Arabidopsis thaliana: one gene and its partner. The protein of the gene in region 1 interacts with the protein of each later gene in a biochemical or structural test. Each region holds a gene or a part of one and is shown in the gene's direction. Other genes may lie near its edges. The genes, in order: OEP80 and PFA-DSP1.

The links.
Region 2: the proteins of OEP80 (region 1) and PFA-DSP1 form a complex in vitro, tested with the Arabidopsis thaliana proteins (one study listed by BioGRID).

What each region holds. Positions count from the first base shown.
Region 1 is NC_003076.8:6,621,626-6,625,552, forward strand, and holds the start of OEP80 (outer envelope protein of 80 kDa), read left to right. Parts: upstream 1-1,571; 5' UTR 1,572-1,697; coding exon 1,698-2,405; intron 2,406-2,498; coding exon 2,499-2,592; intron 2,593-2,966; coding exon 2,967-3,049; intron 3,050-3,157; coding exon 3,158-3,255; intron 3,256-3,396; coding exon 3,397-3,466; intron 3,467-3,743; coding exon 3,744-3,837; intron 3,838-3,927. Other genes in the region: GNL2 (GNOM-like 2), read right to left, coding at 1-420. UniProt on the Arabidopsis thaliana protein: Plays an essential role during early stages of plastid development.
Region 2 is NC_003070.9:1,423,385-1,427,311, forward strand, and holds the start of PFA-DSP1 (Phosphotyrosine protein phosphatases superfamily protein), read left to right. Parts: upstream 1-2,154; 5' UTR 2,155-2,275; coding exon 2,276-2,541; intron 2,542-2,631; coding exon 2,632-2,725; intron 2,726-2,850; coding exon 2,851-2,946; coding exon of another isoform or gene 2,947-3,015; exon of another isoform or gene 3,016-3,927. UniProt on the Arabidopsis thaliana protein: Cleaves the beta-phosphate at the 5-position of soluble inositol pyrophosphates.

The sequences.
Region 1 (3,927 bases):
CACCAAATCTGTTTTCTCCAAACGACAACTAGTAATCCCGGAGACAATAGAATTCATAGCATCTTTTGCACCAGGTGTTTTCTCATCGAAGATCTCGATTTTAAGGATCTTTAAGATGGAGGAAAGAGCGACAGCTGTGGCGCTAGCCGGAATCTCATCGCTTTGAATAACTTCGAGGAAAGGAGAAAGATAAACCGAAGGATCTATGGTGCGCCAATCTTGTTGAGGATTGAAAATAAGAGCTCTAAGAGATTTGAGAGATTGTTGGACTGATGAATCACAGTGGTCTGTTTCTTGGGGAGAAAGGTAACTTTCTGAAAGGGGTCTACGAATGACGGCAAGGACTGCACCAACCTCCGTGTTAAGCATGCATGATATCCCTAGCTCTTTCCGCTTTGCTCTTACGGCGATACGATCCATTTCTCACCTTATCACACTCTTCTTGCCGATAAAGAAGAAAAATCATTCAGCAACTGTTTTTTTTGTTGTTCTTCGTTTTTATTCTTTATGTGTACGGTGTTGCCTTGCCTTGGTTTGATCCTATATTTAGTATATAAGTTTTAGTGGCTGAGACTCAGTGATGGGTGAGTTTCAACCATTTGTCATCACACATCTAGGAAAACTCCATCATCAGCTACCGTCAATTTCTTTAAGGCTTAAGATAGAAAACTAATGTACGTTCTGCAAAAATTCAGATTTAAGGATACATTATTTGGATCAAACGTATGTGTTCAAGGTTTTTTTTTCTTCTTCTTTTAAAGTAGAAGCAAACTCTACGATGATTGGAGTGGAAACCATTTTTGTAGGATTAGGCCTCTTCATACTGATCTGAGTCAGACTTTGCATAGCTGAAGTTTTTTTCCTCTACTATTCAATTAACCAGTAGAGAAAAACTGACGCTTAAGAGGTTAATGGAGCTTAAATTTTACCAAATTCAGACCATAACTCTATTTATGTACTGGTCCTAGTGTTTCCAAGAGAATATATCTCTCAGCTTAAATTTTACTAAAATTCAGACCATAACTTATTTATGTACTGGTCCTAATAAGATGAATGTTTTAAGGGTTTATGGCTTGCTTAAGAAGAGCCAAAACTCTCTATAATTAACAAGTCTAAAATTGACAAAATTAATATAATTGGTTTTGTTACATGTTTGTGACCATAACTACTAAAAAAATTCACAGAAAAACTATTCAATAATCCTTGTTTGTTCATGTGTGTGATCTATTAATCAATAAAATCAAGAAAATGGATAGGAGAAATCAACTAACGTTTTTTTCTCAAAAATCTATTTATTTATTTTGATTAACATGTTTTGAACGTTAGTTAACTAATTTACCCTACAAAAAACTAATTTACCGTCAAATAAATGAGAAATCCCCTTAATGAGAAATTGATTATTTTCCAAAATATTTATTTGACGCAATTTTATTTTCATTTTTGAAAATCCAGTAATTTTACAAAACCTAATAATATACTCAAAGGAATGTTTACATAAAACATTCAAAAAAATAATTTGTTTTTTGTTTGTTCGTAAATGGGCTTTAACATCACCTCCTTTTCACTCTATCATCTTCTACTCCGAGTCTCCGAATCAAAAAAAACCCTAGCTCTTATTTTTTGTTCTTAGATTTTATCTCTTAAGCTCTTCTTCTTCCTTGACATTTCCTCAATTTCACTCCCGAGTACGATTAACAATGCATTGTCACAACGATGATGTTCGCTTCTCTTCATCTTCTATCAGAATCCATTCTCCATCTCCCAAAGAACAACACTCTTTACTCACCAATCTCCAATCCTGCTCTAAAACCTTCGTCTCTCACCTCTCAAATACTCGTAACTCACTAAACCAAATGCTCCAGTCGCTAAAGAATCGCCACACTCCTCCTCCACGTTCGGTTCGTCGTCCCAATTTACCGACTCAGATGCTCAATTCAGTAACCCAGCTTATGATTGGGAAGTCTTCTCCAATTTCATTGTCTCTTATCCAATCCACCCAATTCAATTGGTCTGAATCAAGAGATGAGAACGTTGAGACAATCCGTGGACTAAGCTCGCCTCTGCTCTGTTGTGCCTCTTTGTCTCTAACTAGACCTAACGAGTCGACTCAGTCAGTGGAAGGGAAGGATACAGTACAGCAGCAGAAGGGTCACTCGGTGAGTCGAAATGCGGAGGAACGAGTTCTGATTAGTGAGGTTTTAGTAAGAACGAAAGATGGTGAGGAACTTGAGAGGAAGGATTTGGAAATGGAGGCATTGGCTGCTTTGAAAGCTTGTAGAGCTAATTCAGCGTTGACTATTCGTGAGGTACAGGAGGATGTACATAGGATTATAGAAAGTGGGTACTTTTGCTCTTGTACTCCTGTTGCTGTTGATACACGAGACGGGATTCGGTTGATGTTTCAGGTAATATTTTGATTGTTACTCTTTTTGTTGGAGGAGAAAGGTCTCGTTTTTATGTTTCTGGGATGCAAATAATTCTCATTTTCTTGCCATAAGGTAGAACCAAACCAAGAATTTCGTGGGTTAGTCTGTGAAAATGCAAATGTTCTTCCTTCCAAGTTCATACATGAAGCTTTCCGAGATGGGTTTGGTACGTATCCTCCAATTTAGCTTGTTTTTTTTTCTTCTGTACTGTACTAGACTTATCTGTCAATTCATTGATTTACGTTGGGAGTAAAATGGATTAATGATATTGGAACCTGACAAATATTTCGAGTACTAATGATGAAGCTAAGAATTTTCTAACACATGGTGTAAAATGTGTTAGCCTTGAATGAAGAAGATAGATTAGAGGTAGGTAGTATTCTCAAAATGTATCCATGCTCCAAAACAGAGCATAATTTGAAGTTGCATTTAGTTTACACATATTAATGTATTGAGGCTAGTTAGGTGGATTCCTTCTGTTCGGTGTGTGTTTGATTGGAGAGGGTAATGGTTAGTAAATGTTGGTGTCAAGCTGTGTAGGGAAAGTGATTAATATTAAGAGACTGGAAGAAGCTATTACATCCATCAATGGATGGTACATGGAGCGTGGTCTTTTCGGAATTGTAAGTGCTCTTTTTACACCATAATTACTTTTTCAAAAAAAAAAATCATCCTGGATTCAGTCTTATACTTTGTGGTTAGAATCATCATTCTGTTGTCTGCCATTGTAGGTTTCAGATATTGATACGCTTTCTGGAGGTATAGTAAGGCTTCAGGTTGCTGAAGCAGAGGTTAACAACATATCCATCCGATTCCTTGATCGTAAGACGTAAGCTGGTGCCAATCCCTCCCTTATGAATGTAGTTTATATTGGTTTAAATTGTAGGCAATTCTGGATGGCACTGGTAGCTTCCTTTTATTTCAACTATTAGATTACGATTTCATTGATAATGGTGCCTTCTATATTTAGTGGGGAACCAACTAAAGGGAAGACTAGCCCTGAGACAATACTACGGCAACTTACAACAAAGAAGGGACAGGTATTTTTTGGGCATTTCTCAGCTTAGATGTAAAGATAAGTCGCTGACTAAAACATCATAAACTATCTGAGCTGTATTTTTATGCTAAATAACACTTCTGAGTGCATCATCTGTGTATGAAATCCTTTGGAGATCTTATTTTTAATTAAGGTTAATCACTCTTTATGGTATCATGTATGTTTCTTCGTAAAATTTGGCCTTAAAGTCTTTATGCATGAGCGTCTAAGTAGGGCCTCTACATACACATCTTGTCTAATCTGGCTTTTGGTCAATTTAGGTCTACAGCATGCTTCAAGGGAAGAGGGATGTAGACACTGTGCTAGCCATGGGAATCATGGAAGATGTTAGTATTATTCCTCAACCTGCAGGAGGTGTGTAAATATATTTCTTTCTTTTCAGCTAATACTTTTAATTTTCATCTTGTGCTTAAGGTGCAGTAGTATGAGTGAAGAAAGTATTTT
Region 2 (3,927 bases), on another chromosome or scaffold:
ATCATGGATGAATGGATATCATGCATGAAAAAATTAAAATTTCTATGATATGGAAAAACGACAATAATGGACGAAATCTTTGTACGTCAAAATCGGAGACTTAGATCGTTAGATGCATGCAACTAATTAACAACTCCAATAACTTCAATTGAAAATGTGCGTATACTCACTCTCATGAACGGTCTTCTCGTATTGTTAATTCACTGTAATCCTTTTGCGTTTTGATACGCAACTTCGGAATGGGCAACGGTATAGCGAGGCTTACGTATGCTTTGGAAAAACATTAATTCATATATTAATGTTTTATATTCCGTGAGAAAATTTCAATGTTTTGGAAAATTAGAACAAATTAGAACAAATTCTCGAAAGATAAATTGAAGGCATTATGATATTTTCGTACGTTCTTTTTACGGAAAGTTCTTTAACGGCATCCAAAACGCTTTCGTACGTGGCCGAGTGCTCGCGGCGCAATAATCCTTGAGAATCATAAGGTATATTCCCTGGAATGTACCTTTTTTGTTTTTCTTATAAAAAAACTATCTGGTGCATTTTGTTTTTATGGAGTAATTTATCCAATTAAAGTCCAGTGTGGGACACTAAACATTACAAATTTTATGTCTTTAGCTTAGTTATCATCTGTTTTTTTTTAATTAGAAAAGAGTAGTTTTCTGGTGTGAGTGTTATGTGGAAGACAAATATGTGACGTGGATTCTAATAATGTATTGTCGTGATGTGGTTCTTTTTGCATTATTTCGTTTTGATTATGTAATAGACATATATTTAAATGGTGCGATTATGCACCGAAGAAAAACATTCGTCTCCATTTTTCTTTATACGAAATTTGACCCCAAAAAAAAGGTAAAACACGGCGTCCGTGTTATTATGTAGTATCATGTATGACAGAAATGGCAACTACAGTAGATAGTTTGGACCGAATTTTATTTTCACACAATTAAATAGTTATTTCAAGGCAGTAACAAATTGGTGGAAAAAAAAAAAAAAAAGGCAGTAACAAATATTAAAACCGAATATTGGCTAAAATTATACATTTCAAAACAATATTATGAAATTGTTTAACAAAACAAAATGTGAAAGGAACATAGAAGTAATTAATGTACTCAGATTACGATCCCATAGAACTTAAATAAAGGTGCGTTTATGAATGCCAGATGACTCAGATTAGTGATTGTTCTTCCCACTTAGCAGAGTAATTGCTCTTTGTCCTTTGGAATCTCTCTCTCTCTTTTTATTTCTCTGTGTTTCGCTTGGAATCTATATTTTCGCTATTTCCTGGAATGATGATATATATGTATGTTAGTATGTAGTAGTCAATATTTTTGTATATTGTGAATAAGTGACTTTTTCAAGGTAAATATAGGTCAGAAACTTCAAATTCAAAATATTAAATATTATAATATTGGTGAAAATATATAGTCAAAAAATGATTTTAGGTTCGGTTGATAATTTATTCAATGAGAGTGATTTACCCGAATAAGATGATTGTGTGTGAGCAAAAAGATTCCACAATGATGCCAATTTAAGCTTCAACAAGTGCTTTCCTATTAACAAGAACAATTTATGTAATATCATTTTTTTCGTTTGTTTTGCAAAACTGCAAAGTCATTTTATTTTGTTTACTTTAATAATCCTTGAAAATGTTATAACAGTTATTTCCTCAAATTAGACCATCATACTATTATTATTGTTATTATCAACCGTTGATAAAAATGGTAGTAGCATGTACAACTAAGATAGACCGTTACAAAATTCGTGTATTGTTAATTATTATATAGTTTCCGTATGTTGCTGTTTTCAGCTCAACTTGAGTAAATATAAAATATTAAACTGTTTATTCTAATATTGGATTCTTTTGTGTAGTGGCAACTTATTTTTTTCTAAGCTTTTTTTTTTTACAGATTACGGATTTCAGTATGAAATTGTAGATCCAATCAACTATTTTCACATATGCTAAAAGGTATCTAAAAAGTAAAAACACTTAACAGATTATAAACAAAAAAGCTTTTAAGATAAATGTCACAAATTCTTTAAAAATAAACAAATAAACAGCTATTGACAAACAAAAAATAAAAATAAAAAAGGAGTCCTTGCTGGGTCCATCTCCTTTGCGTTCTTTTTCGTCTGTTGAATTTTGAACAGAGTCACAAGTCTCTCTCCATATAAACCTCCCCAAGGTCGACGCTACGTAACGACCATCTCCATTACTCGACTCTCCTCACCTAAAGATTCAACCTTTTCTCTGTTTCCCAATTCAGAGATGAAGCTTGTGGAGAAGACGACTACTACAGAGCAGGACAATGGAGAAGATTTCTGCCGCACCATCATCGAGGTTTCCGAGGTTAACAGAAACGTGTTTCAGGCTCCGGGCGGTGAAGCTGATCCCTTTCGAGTTGTCTCCGGCGAAGAACTTCACCTAATTCCGCCGCTCAACTTCTCCATGGTCGATAACGGTATATTCCGGTCTGGATTCCCTGATTCAGCTAACTTCTCCTTTCTCCAGACTCTCGGTCTCCGCTCAATCATGTAAAAGCTCCTTCCACATTCATGACATTTTGTATACTATATATCAAACTTTCGAAATTGCTGATTTTAGGTTTTTTCGAATTTGTGAAGATACTTGTGCCCGGAGCCCTACCCAGAGAGCAATCTCCAGTTCCTTAAATCCAATGGAATCAGGCTTTTCCAGTTTGGTATTGAAGGCAACAAGGTAACCATCTTTCTTCTCCTCTCTCTTCATCAAGTCTCCGTTTTTAATTGCTCTGTAATTCTAAACCTTACTTGGATAGTTCACTAGGAGAATTCTCTGAATGGAAAAATCATATCTTGCTGCAGTGTGTTCCTGACTTAGACAACGAGATTTCCTTGCATTTATGGAATTCTAAGCATCAGAAACAGGGTCCCTTAACTAATGGACTTTCGAAAACTTTGGTACACACTACATATATTAACTGGAACACGATACTATTTCTGGAATATATCATAGTTCATTCAATTTGAAGGGTTTTATTTGCTTGATATTTATTGCCTAATTGTTCTTGAAAATCCTGTCTCATTGTTGTTTACTTTAGACTACTAAAACTGTTTCTGTGTTTTCTTTCTCTTGAATTTGATCCTTCATGGGCACTCTGTTCCAAGCCATATTTTATTATTATGAGTTTACCAGAAAAAGAACACATCTTTCTTTATTGTTTTGCCTCTTTGGCTCTTTCCGTCTCTCTTGACCTCCACTGATTTGGTCCCACTCTTTGTTTTTCTGCCCCTTCAGCAACTATTCCCCACTTGTTCTTTCTACTCTCTATTTATAAAATTAGATTATGGACTACGTCAAAATATTTGCTGAGCTACTTGTTGCTAGTGTTGTCAATGATCCCACTACTCAATAGCTTACTTTCTGTTGTTATTGTTTTCTTGGTTCATGTTTATTGAGTGTGCACTTTTTTATACAGATATGATATCTTATGAAATCATACATCAGCGAAAGTGTTTTTGATTGTGTACAAGTAAACCGTTTTTTATGGTAAAAACTTGTAGAAAGCGTGTTGATCGTGAAAGTGTCCATATTAGCTGTAAGGTTTGAAATCTAGATAAGGTTAGGAATTGCTGGGAAAATGATAGATGGTTACGTTGTAAGTCGGTTAATGTTGTTTAATACGTACCTTTAGTTCCTTTCCTTTTCTATGTGTTAGTGGCTCATGTTTGGGCAAATCGTTGGTAAAGTGATAGAATAACCAAAAACTTCACCATAGAGTCTTGAACTTATTACCCTCATGAGTTACCATTCGCCTTTCCTGAAGAGATGGGTATGAATCTAATTTGAGTTGATATGTTTGAAAGAAAATATGTTTGTTCTGGTATGCAGTAGCTATCATTCTCTCCCCCCACAGAATCCACCTTTTCCCTGTCGATTCT